Saccharomyces cerevisiae S288C: one gene and its partners. The protein of the gene in region 4 purifies or fractionates together with the protein of the main gene of each other region. This does not show direct contact. Each region holds a gene or a part of one and is shown on either strand. Other genes may lie near its edges. The genes, in order: HAS1, NOP7, NOG1 and RPF1.

Region 1 (4,416 bases), on a different chromosome or scaffold from region 4:
ACCTTTGCACTTGACGATTTCTGGAGCAATATACGAGATGGTTCCAACAAACTCCTTTAACGAGTTTACCTTACTTGTGTTATATTCAGCAGCAAGACCAAAATCGGCGAGAACTAGGTCGTGTGCCAAGAGATCGTATTTGAAATCTCCGTGGTGTTCACCCTGTAGGTTTTTTTCGTTTTCGTTCACTCTCAATCTGAATAAGACGTTTTCTGCTTTCAAGTCTCTATGAACAATACCTTGAGAATGCAAAAACTCGAGAACGCTCACCAAACAGGCGCAGTACGAGGTAACTTGAGTTTCGAGGTCTAAACACTGATTTTCAACAATTTTTTCATACAAATCTCCCTTCTGACACAGCTGAGTGATCAGGACAATGTTATCTGCCGTCTCAAAATAGTCGAAAAGTTGTAAAATATGGTGATGCCCCTCAAAAATGTCCAAAGAATGTTCATTCTTTTTTTCCATATCTCTGATTTTCTCGCTTATTGACCTCAAAAGGTCGAACTCTCTTTGAATAAGTTGAATTTTGTTCTTGACAGTTTGTTTCTTAATAAGCTTCATCGCGTACAAATCCTTTGTGTGTATATTCATACATTCTTTCACGACGCTAAAATTCCCATCGCCCAAGGAGTTGTGGTTGGTTACGTATTTACATTTGAAGGTTTGAGCGTCTGCATTGCTGCCACTCAGTTGCGGCCAAGGTTTTTCTTCCGGCAGGCGCTGTTGTAGCTGGGAAGCAGAAGAACTAGCTGTAGTCATATCCTGGATGTGTATTTTTCTTTTTGAACTGTTGTAATGTCAATTGTATGAAAATATCGCGGTTTGGCTGAGACAGTCGTGGTAGGTAACTGAAGGAGCAAACAAGAAATTAATAAATAAACAAGTTAGCAAAACAAATAAAAAAACTGTCACTCTAAATAGAAAGAAGTAAAGAAGCAGAAGAAGTCATCCCCGTTCGACACGTTTTCATATTCTGAGTACATGATAAACCCCGCCCTCTTTTTCTTTTTTTAGGAATCCCCCTTTCTATTGTCAGAACAAGAAAGCGGTGTTGGAATTCAAGCAGCTTTTTTTTTTTCTTTTCGTCATACAGTTTCTTTTTCAGGAGTCTTGGTAGCACCCCACCCGTGGAATCGGCGGAATAACCTAACACGTGGAGGTTTTTCCGAGGTGCCAAAAAAGGAAAAACAAAGAGAAGCTGAAATCGGAATTTGAAGAATAGCGTGGGGGGGAGGGGGTTATTCAAGGAGCGCCTGTACCGGCAACGATAGCTTCGGCGGCTAAGATGGCAAACCTAATAGATGTATGTAAAAACATGGATGATAGCAGGCGGTGAACAGCCATGGTAATTTTAGGGAGTGCAAAAGTTATATGTAAGGCTATATCTGTATCAGTTAACAGGGGTGGAAAATGATTTGATAGGCGCAATATGTTTATTGGTAAAAGAGCATCTTAAACCACTTCATTCCATTTCTCACTATCACAAGTGATATATTATGTGTATTTTGCAATCCATGACGCTTTAATGCTTTACAAAGCGCTGCTACTTCTATTTTCTTAACGTAAAGAGGAGTGTATGACGACTAAGAATTGTTTACCCGGCGAGAGTCGATTCTTCGTTACCCGAATTGAAAATTTTTTATTTGCTTTTTCTTTTTTTTTTTTTTTTTTTTTTCAATATTAGCTTTAGCGATGAGATGAGATTTTATAGTGTATACACGGTACTTGAGTACATAGCTATTGGATAACTGTATACTATAATAATTAGATAAGCTGAGCAATATTAACAGGAGAAGTATGGCTACCCCGTCAAATAAACGTTCTAGAGATTCTGAATCTACAGAAGAACCTGTAGTAGATGAAAAGAGCACTTCAAAACAAAACAATGCCGCACCTGAGGGAGAACAAACTACTTGTGTGGAAAAGTTCGAAGAACTAAAGTTATCACAGCCAACTTTAAAGGCCATTGAAAAGATGGGATTTACCACTATGACTTCTGTTCAGGCAAGGACTATCCCACCTCTTTTGGCCGGTAGGGATGTTCTTGGTGCTGCCAAGACAGGTTCTGGTAAAACTCTAGCGTTTCTCATCCCTGCTATTGAACTATTGCATTCTTTGAAATTCAAACCAAGAAATGGTACCGGTATAATTGTCATTACGCCTACAAGAGAGTTGGCTTTACAGATTTTTGGAGTGGCAAGAGAGTTAATGGAATTCCATTCACAGACATTTGGTATTGTCATTGGTGGTGCAAATAGAAGACAGGAAGCCGAAAAATTGATGAAAGGTGTTAACATGTTGATTGCTACCCCTGGAAGATTATTGGATCACTTACAAAATACAAAAGGATTTGTATTCAAGAACTTGAAGGCTTTGATTATCGATGAAGCGGACAGAATCTTAGAAATTGGGTTTGAAGATGAAATGAGGCAGATAATTAAGATCTTGCCAAACGAAGATAGGCAATCCATGTTATTTTCAGCTACACAAACGACCAAAGTTGAGGATTTGGCTAGAATCTCGCTGAGACCGGGCCCTCTTTTCATTAATGTCGTTCCTGAAACCGACAACTCCACCGCAGATGGATTAGAACAAGGCTATGTGGTATGTGACAGTGATAAGAGATTTTTGTTGTTATTTTCTTTCTTGAAAAGAAATCAAAAAAAGAAAATTATTGTATTTTTATCATCTTGTAACTCTGTGAAATATTACGCTGAATTATTGAACTATATTGATTTGCCAGTCCTCGAATTACACGGTAAGCAAAAACAACAAAAGAGAACAAATACATTTTTCGAATTCTGTAATGCGGAAAGAGGTATCTTGATTTGTACAGATGTCGCAGCTAGAGGGCTAGATATCCCTGCTGTGGACTGGATCATTCAATTCGACCCTCCTGATGATCCAAGAGATTATATTCATAGAGTCGGAAGAACCGCAAGAGGCACTAAAGGTAAGGGTAAATCTTTAATGTTTTTAACACCTAATGAATTAGGGTTTTTAAGATATCTAAAGGCTTCCAAGGTCCCATTAAATGAGTACGAATTCCCGGAAAACAAAATTGCAAACGTTCAATCACAATTAGAAAAATTAATTAAATCCAACTATTATCTACATCAAACAGCCAAGGATGGTTATAGATCTTATTTACAAGCGTACGCTTCCCACTCTTTGAAAACTGTCTATCAAATCGATAAGCTGGATTTAGCCAAAGTAGCAAAGTCTTACGGTTTTCCAGTCCCTCCAAAGGTTAACATTACAATTGGTGCCAGTGGAAAAACGCCAAATACCAAAAGACGTAAAACTCATAAGTAATTTCAGAGGATCAATTTTTAATGCTATTAATGTGTACGTGGAACCAACACAACCGAAGTATTCATCTTCTGTTCTCATCGCACTCCTTTTCCTTTCTCTGCTTCTCCACTGTATGTCATTTAAATAAATGTATAAACCGCTGTTTTCTGTTTGTTGTCTTCTACGTACGTTGTCTGTATCAACCTGCACATATTTGAGTATGTAAAATCATGATTTGTAAACTATTGTAAAAAAACTTCATTGATATGAAAATCTGTCGTCTGCTCAATATTTTGTCTTCACTGTTCCCTTTATGCATCCCATGACGCCATTGAAAAGCAAAACTTCGTTGCCAACGGTAAGGCTTCCTATATCTATATCTCCCTCTTCAATAAGGCCGAGCCGCAATAAATAATGACGCATTGTTCCGCACAAACATCCAGTTGCTAATCTTGGTGTCACATACTTTTTAGAACCGTTAGGATCTTTTTGAATTACAGCCACGTTTGTTATTGAACCTTCCATCAGCAGGCCAGATTTGTTGGAAAATAAAATTTCGCATTGCGAGACAGAAGAAGTAGGTTCTGAACCTCTTAAGTTATTTATAGCAGTTTGCATGCGAACTCTCGCCCTAGCGTAATGATCTCTTGAAGTGGTTTTAAAACTGGTGAAAGCTGATGCGTTCAATGGTTCAGATGAAACAACAACATCCCAATTTATTGTGCTATCAATTAAAAATCCATTGAGCATCGTTTTGATGAAGTATGTGGAAACACTGTCATAATCGGTTGTTAATTTTAGGATAGGCTCCATAGGCATTGGAATTGCCTCAATTCGTATATCTCCTGTCTTAGAGACAAGTACCCGCATTTTATAGCATTGCCTTTCGTTGATCATTTTTTGAATTTTTTCGTGATACTCTGAATTTCCTTCTTTACAATTAATCAAGTTTTCAACCAATAACTTCAATAAATCATTCAGAGACGTGCTGAAGTCAATTTTAAAGTATGATAATGCTATTCTTATTCTTTGGTATTGTTCATCTAATAAAAAAAATCGTTCATAAATGACTTGTAGCATATCTTCTACACGCTGGCACACAATGGTCTTGCAATCATG
Region 2 (4,887 bases), on a different chromosome or scaffold from region 4:
AATTTCAGTATCTTACAATTGGTGTGAAATTTTTTATGAAGCATGGTTTAATACTTGAGTTACAAAAAATTTGGCAAATAGAAGAAGCAGGCAATTCACAAATAACAAGCGGAGGGTTCCTTTTAAAAGCATACATCAATGTTAGTAGGGGGACCGATATCGATCGTATAAACTATACAGAGACTGCCTTGATGAACTTAAAAAAGGAACTACAAGGCTATATAGAGTTAAGTGTACCCGATAGACAGTCAATGGACTCGAGGGTAGCACATGGAAATATTCTAATATAATCATTGGCACCTGGGCATATTTTTACAAAATTCACTCATATAGTTATACAGAACAACAGTAACCACTTTTAATGTACAGGTATTTCTATATCTACAAACAAAAATGTGTAGTTATATATCTAATGTTGCTATACCGAGGAATTATAAAGTAATAAAGATGTTAAATTAAAAGACAAAATTTTTGAGAGGCTATTGGAAAAGAAGAGAAAACTATTTCTTGGAATCTAGTTTATTCAGTTTAGCTTTTTGTTTGGCAATTTGCTTCTTTTTCTTTTTTAAGTTCTCAGCTTGTTCCTCCTTTTTAGCATTAGAATACTTCATTTTTTTGTAAAGTTTCTTTTGTTTGTTACTCATCATTATCATTTTCAATTTCTTTTCTTCTTCTTCTTCATCCACCTTTCTCTTTTTGTTCTTTGACTTATTGACATCCTTATCAGCTTCTGAAGTTTCAGAATATTTGATACCTTGTGCTTCCAATTCAAGCTCTTTTTGAGCTTGTAGCTCTTCGTCATCGTCATCATCTTCTTCTCCAGCAACAACTTCTTGATCTTCCTCCTCAACTTGATCTTCACTTTCACTTTCACTTTCACTTTCTTCTTCTTCGCCTTCTTCGACAGGAGCAGTTGGATCGTAACCAATAGCATCACCCCATGGGCTTAAGTGAGGTGGAAGAGCCTCCCCTGGAAGATATTTGTTGGCAGGTACCAATTCGCCTTTATTGATACAATCAAATATCCACTGTGGCTGAATATACGTTCTGCCAGCTACCTTGTTTTTCAAAACTGGCCTGTCAACAATTTGATGAGTGACCTTGGACATGTCAATATCCTTCTTATTTTCAATTTGGTCCATAGCAGCTTCACTGATGACATTACCACCACAAGATAAGATCAAGAACTCAAGAATATCGATCGGAACTTCTCTGCTAACGTAAAAAACAAATGCAGAAAACAAAGAAGCAACAGGAGAATCGTACTTACTTGGCTGTATTAAGATGTCACCCTTGTTCTTATTGTTATCCTCGAAAGTATCTAGTTCCGTTTCCTCATTTTGTTCCTTTTCTTGTTCCTTTTCTTGTTTCTTTTCTTGTTCTTCCTCCTTTTCTGTTTCATCAGTATTTGCCTCATCGGCATTCAAGGCAGACTTTAATGTCGATGCGTCCAAACTTTCAACTTTTACGTCTTCCTCAATCTCAGTTGGGTCAAGTTTTAGTAGGCTGTCTTCTTGTCTGGATTCTAGAATATATGATGACAAACCACTTATGATTTTATCCTTTTTAAGATCCAATTTTGGCGGATAAATCAACCCACTATCGGTGTATAACTTATATAGGACGAAATGCAATAGAGTCGAGTAGAATTCTAAGAAGGTCAACATAATTCTGAAATCAACGTCACTGGGGATGTTTTCTGGAAACTTGAATGGAACTAACCATCTAACTTCTTCACCCTTAATATTGGCTTGATAATAAACACCTTTAATGGATACAAACACTTTACGAACCAAGCGTTCCTTGGCAACATAGGCTAACCATTGATTACAGATTTTCTGAGCATCATTGATAATTTTCGAGGAAACCTGGTTGGTAGAGGGCAAATTAGAGAAAAGAAATAACATATTCAAAGCATCATCAATATCCCTTATAGCATCTGGGAAACTTGGATAACGCTCCTTGATAATATGGTCTAAAGTATAACTATCTCTGTTTTCCTCTAACCTTTTAGCAGAAGAGACTTCTCCCCTACCCAAAGCCCTTGTTAGTTTCCTAGCAAAAGTCTTGTGTTCTCTAAATTTAGCCAAAACGGGCTCATGCATTAGATATTGAATATCCTTAGCATAGTAAAAAGTAGTTGGTGCAGTAGAGCCCTTGTTTGCCTTCTTTTTATTTCTTGGCTCTCTAGGATAGATACCTTTGAATATACATAATCTTCTGAAATCAGCAAGAGAAACCTGTAATTTTCTCACAGCTTGAGATCTGGTAATAAAGTTTCTTGCGTTACCTCTGGTGTTTTTCTTCTTGATTCTCATTGTATAAGTAGGATACCGCTGTTACTATACTATTTTCTACAGGAATAAAATGTATTCCACCAGCAGGATTTACTACACATCTCTAATTAACCTTCCAAAATTTTTCATTTTTTCTCATCTCATCTCATCGCAAAAAATTTTCTTTAATTTTTTCAGGCAATAATAATAGTCACCACAGACGACATGACATTATTCTGTAAATATAACATCAAGGAGGTAATAGTGACTAGCATTTAGGCTTTTAGATCGAACTATTTGCACTTACCCATAGTGCTAGAACGATGTACAAAACATGGCGTCTATGCAGAACACATACAGTGGGTGGGTTATGCCATGATGGAAGTCATCGGTTCGTATCTACGGGAGGGGCAAAGATTGGTAAAAAATTTGAAAATATGAATCAAATAAGGGATTATTTATCAAGACCTGTATGGTCCGTCCACGAATATTTAGGCATAAACACTAAAGAGGAAAAACTAGAGCCACCGTCTGCTGAAGCTGTAAAAAAATTGTTGCGGTTATCAGGTCTTCCCTTGGAAGGAGCAGATATTAAAGAAATTCAAATGCGACTTGCCAAGCAATTATCATTCATCAACAAACTCCATAACATACCTGTCGAAGGTGAAAAGCACACCAAGGAATATGATGCTCGGTTGGTGCAAAGAAATACGAAACAGCTGAACTACACAAAGCTACTTGAAGGCATCAGCCACCAAAAGCAGGATGCTGAGCTAGGAGAAGTTAGCGGATCTTGGAAAGCAACTGGACTTGCCGCGGAATCCAAAAATGCATATTTTGTTGTCAAAGAGGGACTACTCAAAAACAGGAAGTAAGACTTAGAAAAGTAACACATACGCTCTATTCTATATATTCTTTTGCCTATGAATTTTCTTGTACATGTACCACCACGATAAGGCTGAAATATTTTTCAAATGCATAAATAAGATTAAGTACATAGAAGACATAGCAGTATTTACAATATTTCGAATGAGAATGTGTCTTTTTTTAAGTGATTAAAACCACCTACCAGCAGCCTGAAGGCGACGCTGCCTTTGTTTCTCTACAGCTTTACTTATATACCATCCGTACAAGACCCCCATCATAGAGCCACCTAAATGCGCAGCGTAATCAAATGACCCCCATCTTAAAGCACAACCAGCTGCATTCCATGCCACTGAAGCCAAGAATGCTACCCAAGCCCCACCTGGGACTGGGAAAACAAACAGCAAAATTTTAGCGTGTGGGAATAGATATGAAAAACATCCTAAAACCCCAAATAGCGCTCCACTGGCACCCAAGCTAGGTCCGACAATGGCTAGGCGTGCCAGTTTTGGATACCATAACGAAAACAAAGAACCTGCAATGGCACTATTCATATATAAGGAGAAAAAATTGGATGCTCCCAACATTGTTGCGAGTGAAGTACCAAAGGACCACAACGCTAGCATGTTCATACCTAAGTGCCAGAATTCTTGATGTGAAAACGCACTTCCGATTATCGAAATTTTGCTAGTTACGTAATCCTTTTGCAGCAACATGTACTTCTGTAGAAACCTCCAGCATTTGGGTAGCTGCCATAGTCCAAATACGGCAACATTGATGCCTAATAACGCGTATACCAGATTCTTTGGATGCGTCTTAAAATACGTAAAGGGTGGAACGTGCTCGAACAAATAAGGGGAGCCAAAATATATTCCTGCCATTAAAGAGAGCCCCAAAATAGTCATAGAGCCCAGAGGATTGCCGCCGCTTCTCTGCTGCTGGTACTGCTGAAACCTGTTCAAACGTACGTATCGATTAGTAGTTTCTTCATTGAATATAGGCTTCCACCTTGATTTCAAAATTGATGTTTGAGAAAAGAACCGTTTCGGTATAATTTTCTGAAGATTTGTGACATTGTCCTCTAAGTTGGGAGCATTTTTGAGTATCGACGTGCTCTGGGATCTTCCAATATATGATACAAAAGTCCTCGAAGGTGAAACCGAAATATTACTGCGGAAAAAAATTCTTGTAGCAGGTCGAAGACCGAGCATAACAGAGCTTACACCTGACATGTTCACACTTGGGCAATTTATTACTTTTCACTGTCTGTATATGTCAGTTGCGAAAGCTGTACCCTTTTCAGTCGTGATTGCCACCTTTTCTATTTCACCGCCAATTATACTTCCAGACAAGAATTTAGGCTTTTTTCGCTCCGAAAATCCGCATTTATGAGAGTTATATGAGGGATCTTCACCAAATCCTGGCAAATATTGCTTTAAATATCTATATAAACACGTACAGATGTTTTAGGGTGACATAAAATTGATAAGCACGATTTCATGCTTCAAATTCAATAAGGTTGGACTTCTCTTCCGAGGAATTTGCCGACAAAGGCTCAAAAGACCTTTCTTGTATGGCTTTAGTGCTAGTTTCATTGGCATCGTCGATCTCAAACCAGGAACTTTGTAATAACTCTTCATTCTCGGGTTGATGCTCTGACGTGAAATCATCTAGATCATCGTACTTTTCTTCTTTGGTAGTTATTGAACTTGCAGCGGCTGTTGGCGTACTCTCTACAGAAGCAATG
Region 3 (5,293 bases), on a different chromosome or scaffold from region 4:
TGCGCGTATTGTCTGAGCTCAATCAACAATCGTTACTAGGGGAAAGCTGTAATTTGTGTGTTGTCTAAATGCGGAGAATTTGTTCAGCCAATATCACAAGTTTCAACTTAACAAGACAAGGATTAGAAATAAGAACTACACGCTGGTTGGCTATTCTTTTAGAACCTCTAGTTAAATAGGTAAAATAAGCAAAGTGAGCAAAAATAAGCAAAAGAAGTCAAAGACAACCCCAATGTGCCAAAGACGGCGATGAGTCTTCTGTTTTTTAAGATTCATGCACTCTCAGATTTTCGGCTACAGACGCGGCACAAGGATGAAAAAAAAAAAATGATAGTTTGCAGGAATTTATCAGTCAATTGATGGGAGACATCGCTATTGTTGCCTTATACGATACACTGCAAAAACGATAACAATTTCTTATTTGTCAACCTCGTGGGAGACTCGATAGGTTGCATGATGATGTGTCACAAAAAAGTAGAAGTGTCATCTTGACGCTATCCCACCCCTTCTTTTTCCACATGCTTAATTATTTGTATACATCCAGTGACATACAAAAAAATAGTAGAACATGGAGGGGTCGGCTTGTTGGATAATTTAAATCGGTTTATTATTATTATACAGATTAAATAAAATTTTTTTAAAAAAAAGATACAGAAAAAGTGAGAAAGAAAGAAAAAGAAACCACTAATAGTGAGAGAGATAATCAAATGTAAATGGTAATCCTACCAGCCCAAAAAGATTAGAATGTCGTGTACGTACATCCACATTTTATATTCATATTTTTTTTAAAGTACATGCAAAAGAAAGAATAAGAAGTAGAGAAATCAACGGAAATCTGTCTTACCGACACCACGCTTACCACTGAATAAATGCTTTGATAAGGAAACAGCATTGTGTCTATCAGATTCACCTTGCTTGGCATGTCTATTTCTTTCTCTTCTTTCCATCTTGGCCATCCTGTCGGCCTTGGATCTCATGGAGCCATCAGCAACACCATCCAACAGTCTATCGGTTTGTCTCAACTTGACACCGTTTTCAGTGGAAGCTGTCAAAGCATCTTGGTCGCCAAAAACAACATCAGAACCTCTTTCAACATAACGGTTCTTACGAGCAGCACGGTTCTGTTTATCTTGTAAGGCTGACATGTCATGGCCCAAAGTGGACATGTGTTCTTCCATTTTACCAAAGGACTTAGTTAGTTTAGAACGTGGCATGATAGCTTTGTTCTTCAAGGACTTCCTATTTCTTGCTTCAGCAATCATCGTCTTTTGTCTATTTCTAATCCATGCAGCTTTCTCCTTGATATCATCTACTTCGGATGCTTCGAAACCGTCGTAGATTTCTTCCTCATCGTCAGAATTGTAGAACCCTTCGTTCTCCAATTTTTCTTCTTCTTCTTCAAGAGCCTGCAGTTTAGCAGCGATTTCAGGGTCCAAGAAATCATAAACATTCTTACCATCCAAGATTTCTGGCATGATGTCATTCTTCCACTCATCATCTTCTAATAGGTACTTGTCCTTCAAGTTAACATTGAAGACACCAGCACCACCATTTTCAGCTTCGATGTCTCTGGCCAACTTTCTCCTGTTTGGATCTTCAGGGTCGTATTTCTTCAAATTCTTGACAGATTCTGGGATAAATGGTGTTCTCTTGACATCATCTCTTGCTTGAGGTTGAGCAACATGAATCTTGTTCAGAACATTGTTGATTCTAGACTGAGATTTCAACTTATTCTCAATTCTAGAAGCCAATAGTTTTTCACATGCTTTGTTTCTAACTTCCATAACGTTTTCTTCCAGTTGGCATGAAGAAGTCATGATTTCAACACCTGGAACCTCCTTAACAGATTCCAGTAATTGTGCACGCTCTTCGTCTAAATCCTCCGGTCTGATAATGTCGGTTTTGTTGATAACAACCATGACAGACTTGTTGGCGAATAGAGGCTTGATGGAGTGGAATAGTTTAACTTGAGCTTCGATGGTGAAACCACATTGTTCGGAAAGATCCATGAAGTACAAAACACAAGAACGTAAATGGGCAATGGCATAAATCGATTGCATTTCAATGTTGTTCATTTCTTCAGTGGGTCTATCTAGGATACCAGGGGTGTCAATAGCTTGAAATCTCAAGTATTTGTAGTCAAAATGACCAACGTATAAACTCTTGGTTGTGAAAGCATATGGTTGAACATCGACGTCTGATTTGGTAATGCATCTCAAAAACGAGGACTTACCGACATTTGGATAACCACAGATCAGCAAGGTTCTGGTATTTGGGTCGATCGATGGTAATCTACCAATGTGCTGTCTGACTTGTTCCAAATAGGCCAATGGGTCCCTCAATTTCTTGACTATAGTTGCCATTCTACCTAAAGCGGCCCTTTTCAATTGTTTACATTGAAATAAAGATTGACCGAATTTTAGCAATCTGACATAATCTCTGGCGACTTGTTCCACAAGGGACTTCGCACGAGATATAGCTGCCAAAGATATCTTGTAATGATTCTTTTCGTATAGGGTGTCCATCAAATCTCTATGGAAAGGATGCACGTCATTGATGTTAGGAAAACCCTTTAAAATGTCCTCAAATTTTTCCACGAAACCTTCACCTGTGTATTTAACTTTACGCATATAGAACGCTCTGATTCTTGTAATCTTGAAACCAGGTCTGATCACAGTTGGTGTCTTTCTCTGGGTTCTGTTCAAGACAATATCCAGCAAATCATTTGCTGGAGCGACAGTAGGGATATCCTTCCATGAAAGTTGCATCTTCGGTATAGGAGGGAGATGTGTTTGCTTTTGGAGGGTACACTTACTTTTTTATAAACGCTGCAACTCCTAAATCTGAAGTGTATTCTTTATATTGTATTAGATGAGGTAGTACATAGGTGAAAATTTTTCTTTGCGATGAGCTGCGGAAAAAACTTTTCGTTCAGTTGAAAAAAAAAAAGAAAGTGAAGATCGTGTGCGACGGAATAGACGTGTCGTTTTCCCAATACTGGCATACAAATCAAGAGGGAGAAGAGTGGGCTTTTATAATTGCAGTTGAATGCAGTATGGTAGCCGAGCAAACACAGGAGAACATGTCAGCCGTAGGTCCAGGTAGCAATGCAGGTGCTAGTGTCAATGGCGGATCTGCTACAGCCATTGCTACTCTTTTACGCAACCATAAGGAGTTGAAGCAAAGGCAGGGTTTATTCCAGGCCAAGCAGACAGACTTCTTCCGTTACAAGAGATTTGTTAGGGCACTGCATTCTGAGGAGTATGCCAACAAATCTGCAAGACAGCCAGAGATATATCCAACTATACCTTCTAACAAGATCGAAGACCAGCTTAAGTCACGTGAAATCTTTATTCAACTTATAAAGGCACAAATGGTGATCCCAGTGAAAAAATTGCATAGTCAAGAATGCAAAGAGCATGGATTGAAGCCAAGCAAGGACTTTCCGCACTTGATTGTTTCGAATAAAGCACAATTGGAAGCCGATGAATACTTTGTTTGGAACTATAACCCTAGAACCTACATGGATTACTTGATCGTCATTGGTGTCGTGTCCATCATATTGGCGCTCGTATGCTACCCATTGTGGCCGCGCTCCATGAGACGCGGCTCCTATTATGTGTCTCTGGGTGCCTTCGGCATCTTAGCAGGCTTCTTTGCTGTCGCTATCCTGAGATTGATATTATATGTTTTGTCATTAATTGTCTACAAAGATGTTGGTGGGTTCTGGATCTTTCCCAACCTGTTCGAAGATTGCGGTGTACTAGAGAGTTTTAAGCCACTTTACGGTTTTGGTGAGAAGGATACTTATAGTTACAAAAAGAAACTGAAAAGAATGAAGAAGAAACAAGCCAAGAGAGAAAGCAATAAGAAGAAAGCCATCAATGAAAAAGCCGAACAAAACTGAACTTCCATTATCCTGTATAGCTCTACTGTATAAACCTTCTATATTGTAACCTCATGAACTCGCACATGTACAAACCTTCAAGAGAACCGGCACCAAAGCGCTACCATCTGGTTGCTTCATCGCTTATAGTGAGTAGTTTTAGATTTGAAGGTTATCGCTCCTGGCAAAAATCTGAATCCACACACCGCATAATTAGCGGTTATTATTACTCAATTTCCGGCCGGCTTTAATATACTTTCACCGAAAGGTCTCTATATAGAAGCTATTTGCTGACACTTGCTTACAGGAATCGATTATATAAGAAGGGTTCTGCATCTGGTTGCCTACTTAGTTTTCGGTATTTTTGAAGATTAGCAAAAAGATCAAGATATCAAGTATTTTCATATTTGTCATTTTAATGTTTCGCTCGGGTTACTATCCAACTGTCACTCCTAGCCATTGGGGCTATAACGGCACCGTCAAACATGTACTGGGAGAGAAAGGAACCAAGTCTTTGGCTTTCAGAGATTCTAAGCGCCAAATTCCTCTTCATGAATTCGTAACCAAACACGTGCCTACACTCAAAGATGGTGCAAATTTTAGGTTAAACAGCTTGCTTTTCACAGGTTACTTACAGACCCTTTATTTGTCAGCCGGTGATTTTTCCAAAAAATTTCAGGTATTTTATGGAAGAGAGATTATAAAATTTTCTGATGGAGGGGTCTGCACTGCAGATTGGGTTATGCCTGAATGGGAGCAAACATATTCATTAAATGCTGAAAAGGCTAGTTTTAACGAGAAACAATTTTCGAACGATGAAAAGGCCACCCATCCAAAGGGTTGGCCTCGTCTTCACCCGAGAACTAGATATCTATCCTCTGAGGAACTTGAAAAATGTCATTCTAAGGGTTATTCTTACCCTTTAGTGGTAGTACTTCATGGTCTTGCAGGGGGAAGCCATGAGCCTCTCATCAGGGCATTATCTGAAGATCTATCAAAAGTCGGTGACGGTAAATTCCAAGTGGTAGTCCTTAATGCTAGAGGTTGCTCAAGATCTAAAGTCACCACCCGTAGAATCTTTACCGCATTACACACAGGTGATGTGAGAGAATTTTTGAACCACCAAAAAGCTCTATTTCCGCAAAGAAAAATATATGCAGTCGGAACATCATTTGGAGCAGCCATGCTAACGAACTACTTAGGTGAAGAAGGAGATAACTGTCCATTAAATGCTGCAGTCGCTCTCTCAAACCCATGGGATTTCGTACACACTTGGGACAAGTTGGCTCATGATTGGTGGTCCAACCATATTTTTTCTAGAACTTTAACACAATTTCTAACAAGGACTGTCAAGGTTAATATGAATGAGTTGCAGGTACCAGAGAATTTTGAGGTTTCGCACAAACC
Region 4 (4,122 bases):
TCTTTTTTTCAAACTTTGACGTCGGAATTTTTTGTAGTGAAAAATTTTTCGAGATGAGGAAAGGAAGAAAAAATTAATTTGTTAGCCTTATAACGTGAGCACCTTTTCGATAGAGTATCTGATTGCTCTCTTCTACCAAAAGATCACCTGAGGATAATTTTTAACCAAAAGAAAATAATGAGTTTCAGAGGAGGTAATAGAGGTGGCCGTGGCGGCTTCCGTGGCGGCTTTCGTGGTGGACGTACAGGCAGTGCTAGATCATTTCAACAAGGACCACCAGACACTGTTCTAGAAATGGGAGCTTTTCTACATCCATGTGAGGGTGATATTGTTTGCCGTTCTATCAACACTAAGATTCCATATTTCAATGCGCCAATATATTTGGAAAACAAGACTCAAGTCGGTAAAGTTGACGAAATATTGGGTCCATTAAACGAAGTATTTTTCACTATCAAGTGTGGTGACGGTGTCCAAGCAACCAGTTTTAAAGAAGGTGATAAATTCTACATTGCCGCTGACAAACTATTGCCTATTGAAAGATTTTTACCTAAGCCTAAGGTGGTAGGCCCACCAAAACCAAAAAACAAGAAGAAGAGAAGTGGTGCCCCAGGTGGCCGTGGTGGTGCTTCAATGGGTCGCGGTGGTAGCAGAGGAGGTTTCAGAGGAGGCCGTGGTGGTAGTTCTTTCAGAGGAGGCCGTGGTGGCAGTTCTTTCAGAGGTGGATCTCGTGGCGGATCATTTAGAGGAGGATCTCGTGGCGGATCTCGTGGTGGTTTCAGAGGAGGTAGAAGATAATCTAGCTAGAAAAAAATAAAAAAAAAAACCATCCTTTATCTTTCACAATTCTTCATTTCTTCCAACTTACTATATCTGCCGAAGCACGTCTAACGTCGAAAAAAAAAAAAAGAAATTACCGTTTGTTCTGTATACTATATATATATATATTTGTTTGATTGATTTACCTGTAATAAATTGATTTAAAATGAAAAAAAGAGAAATTCAGTAATACCAGAAGCCGCCGTAGTTAAACAAACGACCACGGTTCTTACGGTTGTCTTAATATTATATCCATACAAAGTTTACGAATGGAACACTATAAATAAAACTTTTTCTTTTCTTTGTCCATCTCAGGTTTATGCTCCCATTCAGTTTCTTCCTTAATACCCCTTTGCAATCTTTTCAACTTGAGGGTAAATTGTGGACCCAGTTCTTGCAAACCAACCCTTTCATTATCTTTGAAGACATACCGATGCCTTCTGAAGAAAATGTAATCTCTTTGATTATGTAGGGTGATAACTTGTCGACCTTCAATATCAGGATTCTGAGGTAAAATGGACTGAAACAACCTACCTACTGTTTGACCCAATCTGGTCTGGAAATTATTTAGAATCAATTCTGGAATATGGCTAGTTGGTCTACCATGACCGACAATTTTCTTCACTTCAACAAATGATGATAATTTAAAATAAAAAGTTGGGCCCTCTGGCAGATGTATGAATGTTAGGCCAGTAACCTTTTTCTTGTCCTCGTTGATTATCACGATGTCAGTGAAATTCCTTTTTATACAAATATCAGATATTTCCTTCAATTTGTAGCCAAATTTTCTTTTCACAAATGTGACGTTTGGTAAAATTTCGATTAAAATGTTAGCAAATTCATAAGCGCTCTTCTTAGCGTTTACATTTGTGGTCAGAAAGATCTTTGGTGGCTCATTAGAATTGCTGTTGAAGTATCTCATCAAATCGTCTTCATCTCCCTCCACTTCCTTGTTAATGGTCTCATCGTACACTCTAGTGTTCTCTATCGTCTGTGTTACGTTCTCTTTTAATCTCTGCTCCCGCAGCTCCGGATTCTCTCTCTCTTCCTTAGCTCTCTTTCTTCTCATGGTATGGCGCTCTTTATTTTTTTCATGTTTTATATCAGCAAAAATTTCTTGCCTCTTTAGCTTGTTTGTGATGTTTATCTCATTACCGAGAGCCATTTTTTAGTATTTCAATATATTAAGCCTGCTTTACCTCTTCCTTAGGTGTTCAATCGTAAAGTATAGCTTATGGCATCGCATTTCTTTTTACATCTCATCGCTAAAAATTTTACTTTTCCTTTGTATAAATAATCATGTGTGACGAACGCGAAAATGAAAAATGCACTGAATTAAATGTATACAACGTTATATAGATCGTAAATATGTATATTGAAATATACACCTTTTTGTTCTTTCTACTACTGTAAAAGAAGAATGCATGCGTTATGACAGGGCAGCACGCCAATTTAACTTATTGCATATTTCAATGCAGGCTGTCCAGACAGAAGGAAAAGCTACTCAATTGTAGGCTTTGGTTCCGGCGTTACCCCCTTTGGTTTTGAGACTAGAGGTGGTAGAGTTTGGCTTACCATTTCTCAATATCAAATCGATAACTTCTTCGATCTTCTTGCCCTTACCGAACTCATTTTCCACTTGGGCCTTGGAGGCAGCGCCCAACTCACCCTCGGCACCCCTACCGTCCTGAGGAGTGAAAACTTCGAAGAGTTCGACAACTTCAGATAGCTTACCAATTGATGGATTTTTCAAATATTCGTCTACAAGCTCTTCGGATGCAGCGAAGACAATCAAATCTGTATTTTCACCCTTGTAAAAGTATTTGGTTACAGTAGACATGTTGATTTTATTTTGTGTATGCGATGGTTTTCTTATTTTTATCAGCTTGTTCAAAGTATGAATTTGTTGATAGCTGCTTTTTTATTAGTCAAGAATTGAGTTTAAAGAACATTGGCTTGTGATCATCATCGAAATTGATTCTCATCACTTAAATATCTTTTGCTCCCTGTTTCTGGCGATCCCTTCGACTAAATAAGGGGTCGTTGTTGTTACGTACGGCCCAACAGGGTAGTGCCTGCTCTAGCGTCGAAGTTAGAGGAAAAGAAGCTTAGAGAATAAAAACATTTACTAGTAGTAAGGGGTCTTATTGTCAGAAAGGGACAATTGCGTGGGCAGTATTTTCAAAGAGTGGCTTTCTTCTTCTGAACGGAGTTTCAACCTGCGCTTTCTTTTCCTCCTGCTAGGATTTATTTGTGAGAAAACGAAACTAGCTATAGAAACGCGTAGCACCGGCAGGCCGAAAACCGCTACTACGTAAAGGGGAATGAAAATGGGCCAAATTTGGTGTAAAGATATAGGAGAAGAGACACGGAGTAGGAATTCGCCGTGCCCCTATACAGAGACAACATGAATAGAGAGACAAACGCATTACGTAGTCTTGGAAGATAGCGCAACGGGAAATCTTGACACAGTAAGAAACATTTACAGTATAATAATACTAAAAATAAAATTAAGATACATCAATATAAAATTTTCGACAAATACAGAAAAGAACAGAGAAGAAAAAATGAAGGTGACGCAAAAAAGGAATTGACAGGCCGTAATGAGTAGTGATGGAAAGAAGGTAAATGGAAGTAATAAAGGAAAATCATAAACATGCTTAAAAGCGTACAATCTTGAATTGAATTAAGAATAACAATAACCTTGAAAGAAATGAAAATCAAAAGGAAAAACGCAACTATAACGATACAAAAAAGACTTAATAAAAGGACATGGAATCTTGAAAACGATAAAAAGCAATGAAAAAAAGAAAATAAAGCGCTGTTATATCACCGTCAGCCTAAGACCAAATACAATTTAACACTGAAGTAAAGAAAATACCAAGAAAGAAAAAGGGCCAAAAGGAAAACAAACATTTTTATATACACGTGTGGCTCAAGCAAACATAAAACCATTACTGCCTTGTTCCAAACGGTTTAACATTGCATTAGTGCTGTTAACAACCGCTTCGCTTCCTTGCATGATAACTTGTTGGCCACCCGTGCCTGAGAGGTCCATAGAGCTAGTGTCAGCCAGTAAACTAGTAGCTTGCGTATTTGTAGCATTATTATTACTGTAGAAACTGAAATTGTTCGAGCCTAATCCATTCGCATTAGCGTATGGATTAGAATAATTCAGAATTTGACATCCAGGAAGCATCGTGGATGAAACATTATTATCTGGCAGAACAGGTGCTTCACACGTACTGGATGGAATGTATCCGTAGTTAGGTTGCTGTAAACCTGGTTGCTGTTGTTGAACCTGTA

What was found.
Region 1: the proteins of RPF1 (region 4) and HAS1 purify together in Saccharomyces cerevisiae (affinity purification with mass spectrometry; 6 studies listed by BioGRID, with this or other methods). This does not show direct contact.
Region 2: the proteins of RPF1 (region 4) and NOP7 purify together in Saccharomyces cerevisiae (affinity purification with mass spectrometry; 6 studies listed by BioGRID, with this or other methods). This does not show direct contact.
Region 3: the proteins of RPF1 (region 4) and NOG1 purify together in Saccharomyces cerevisiae (affinity purification with mass spectrometry; 5 studies listed by BioGRID, with this or other methods). This does not show direct contact.

What each region holds. Positions count from the first base shown.
Region 1 is NC_001145.3:848,976-853,391, reverse strand, and holds HAS1 (ATP-dependent RNA helicase HAS1), read left to right. Parts: upstream 1-1,800; coding exon 1,801-3,318; downstream 3,319-4,416. Other genes in the region: protein kinase TDA1, read right to left, coding at 1-762; aminodeoxychorismate lyase ABZ2, read right to left, coding at 3,583-4,416. UniProt on the Saccharomyces cerevisiae protein: ATP-dependent RNA helicase involved in 40S ribosomal subunit biogenesis. Required for the processing and cleavage of 35S pre-rRNA at sites A0, A1, and A2, leading to mature 18S rRNA.
Region 2 is NC_001139.9:692,848-697,734, reverse strand, and holds NOP7 (mRNA-binding ribosome synthesis protein NOP7), read right to left. Parts: upstream 2,319-4,887; coding exon 501-2,318; downstream 1-500. Other genes in the region: SRB5 (Srb5p), read left to right, coding at 1-290; GTF1 (glutamyl-tRNA(Gln) amidotransferase subunit F), read left to right, coding at 2,600-3,151; rhomboid protease PCP1, read right to left, coding at 3,332-4,372; GTPase-activating protein MDR1, read right to left, coding at 4,638-4,887. UniProt on the Saccharomyces cerevisiae protein: Component of the NOP7 complex, which is required for maturation of the 25S and 5.8S ribosomal RNAs and formation of the 60S ribosome.
Region 3 is NC_001148.4:368,453-373,745, reverse strand, and holds NOG1 (putative GTPase NOG1), read right to left. Parts: upstream 2,769-5,293; coding exon 825-2,768; downstream 1-824. Other genes in the region: Sec63 complex subunit SEC62, read left to right, coding at 3,083-3,907; EEB1 (medium-chain fatty acid ethyl ester synthase/esterase), read left to right, coding at 4,305-5,293. UniProt on the Saccharomyces cerevisiae protein: Involved in the biogenesis of the 60S ribosomal subunit.
Region 4 is NC_001140.6:279,354-283,475, reverse strand, and holds RPF1 (rRNA-binding ribosome biosynthesis protein RPF1), read right to left. Parts: upstream 1,982-4,122; coding exon 1,094-1,981; downstream 1-1,093. Other genes in the region: H/ACA snoRNP pseudouridylase subunit GAR1, read left to right, coding at 178-795; RTC3 (Rtc3p), read right to left, coding at 2,321-2,656; YHR086W-A (uncharacterized protein), read right to left, coding at 3,084-3,245; NAM8 (Nam8p), read right to left, coding at 3,752-4,122. UniProt on the Saccharomyces cerevisiae protein: Essential protein. Required for biogenesis of the 60S ribosomal subunit.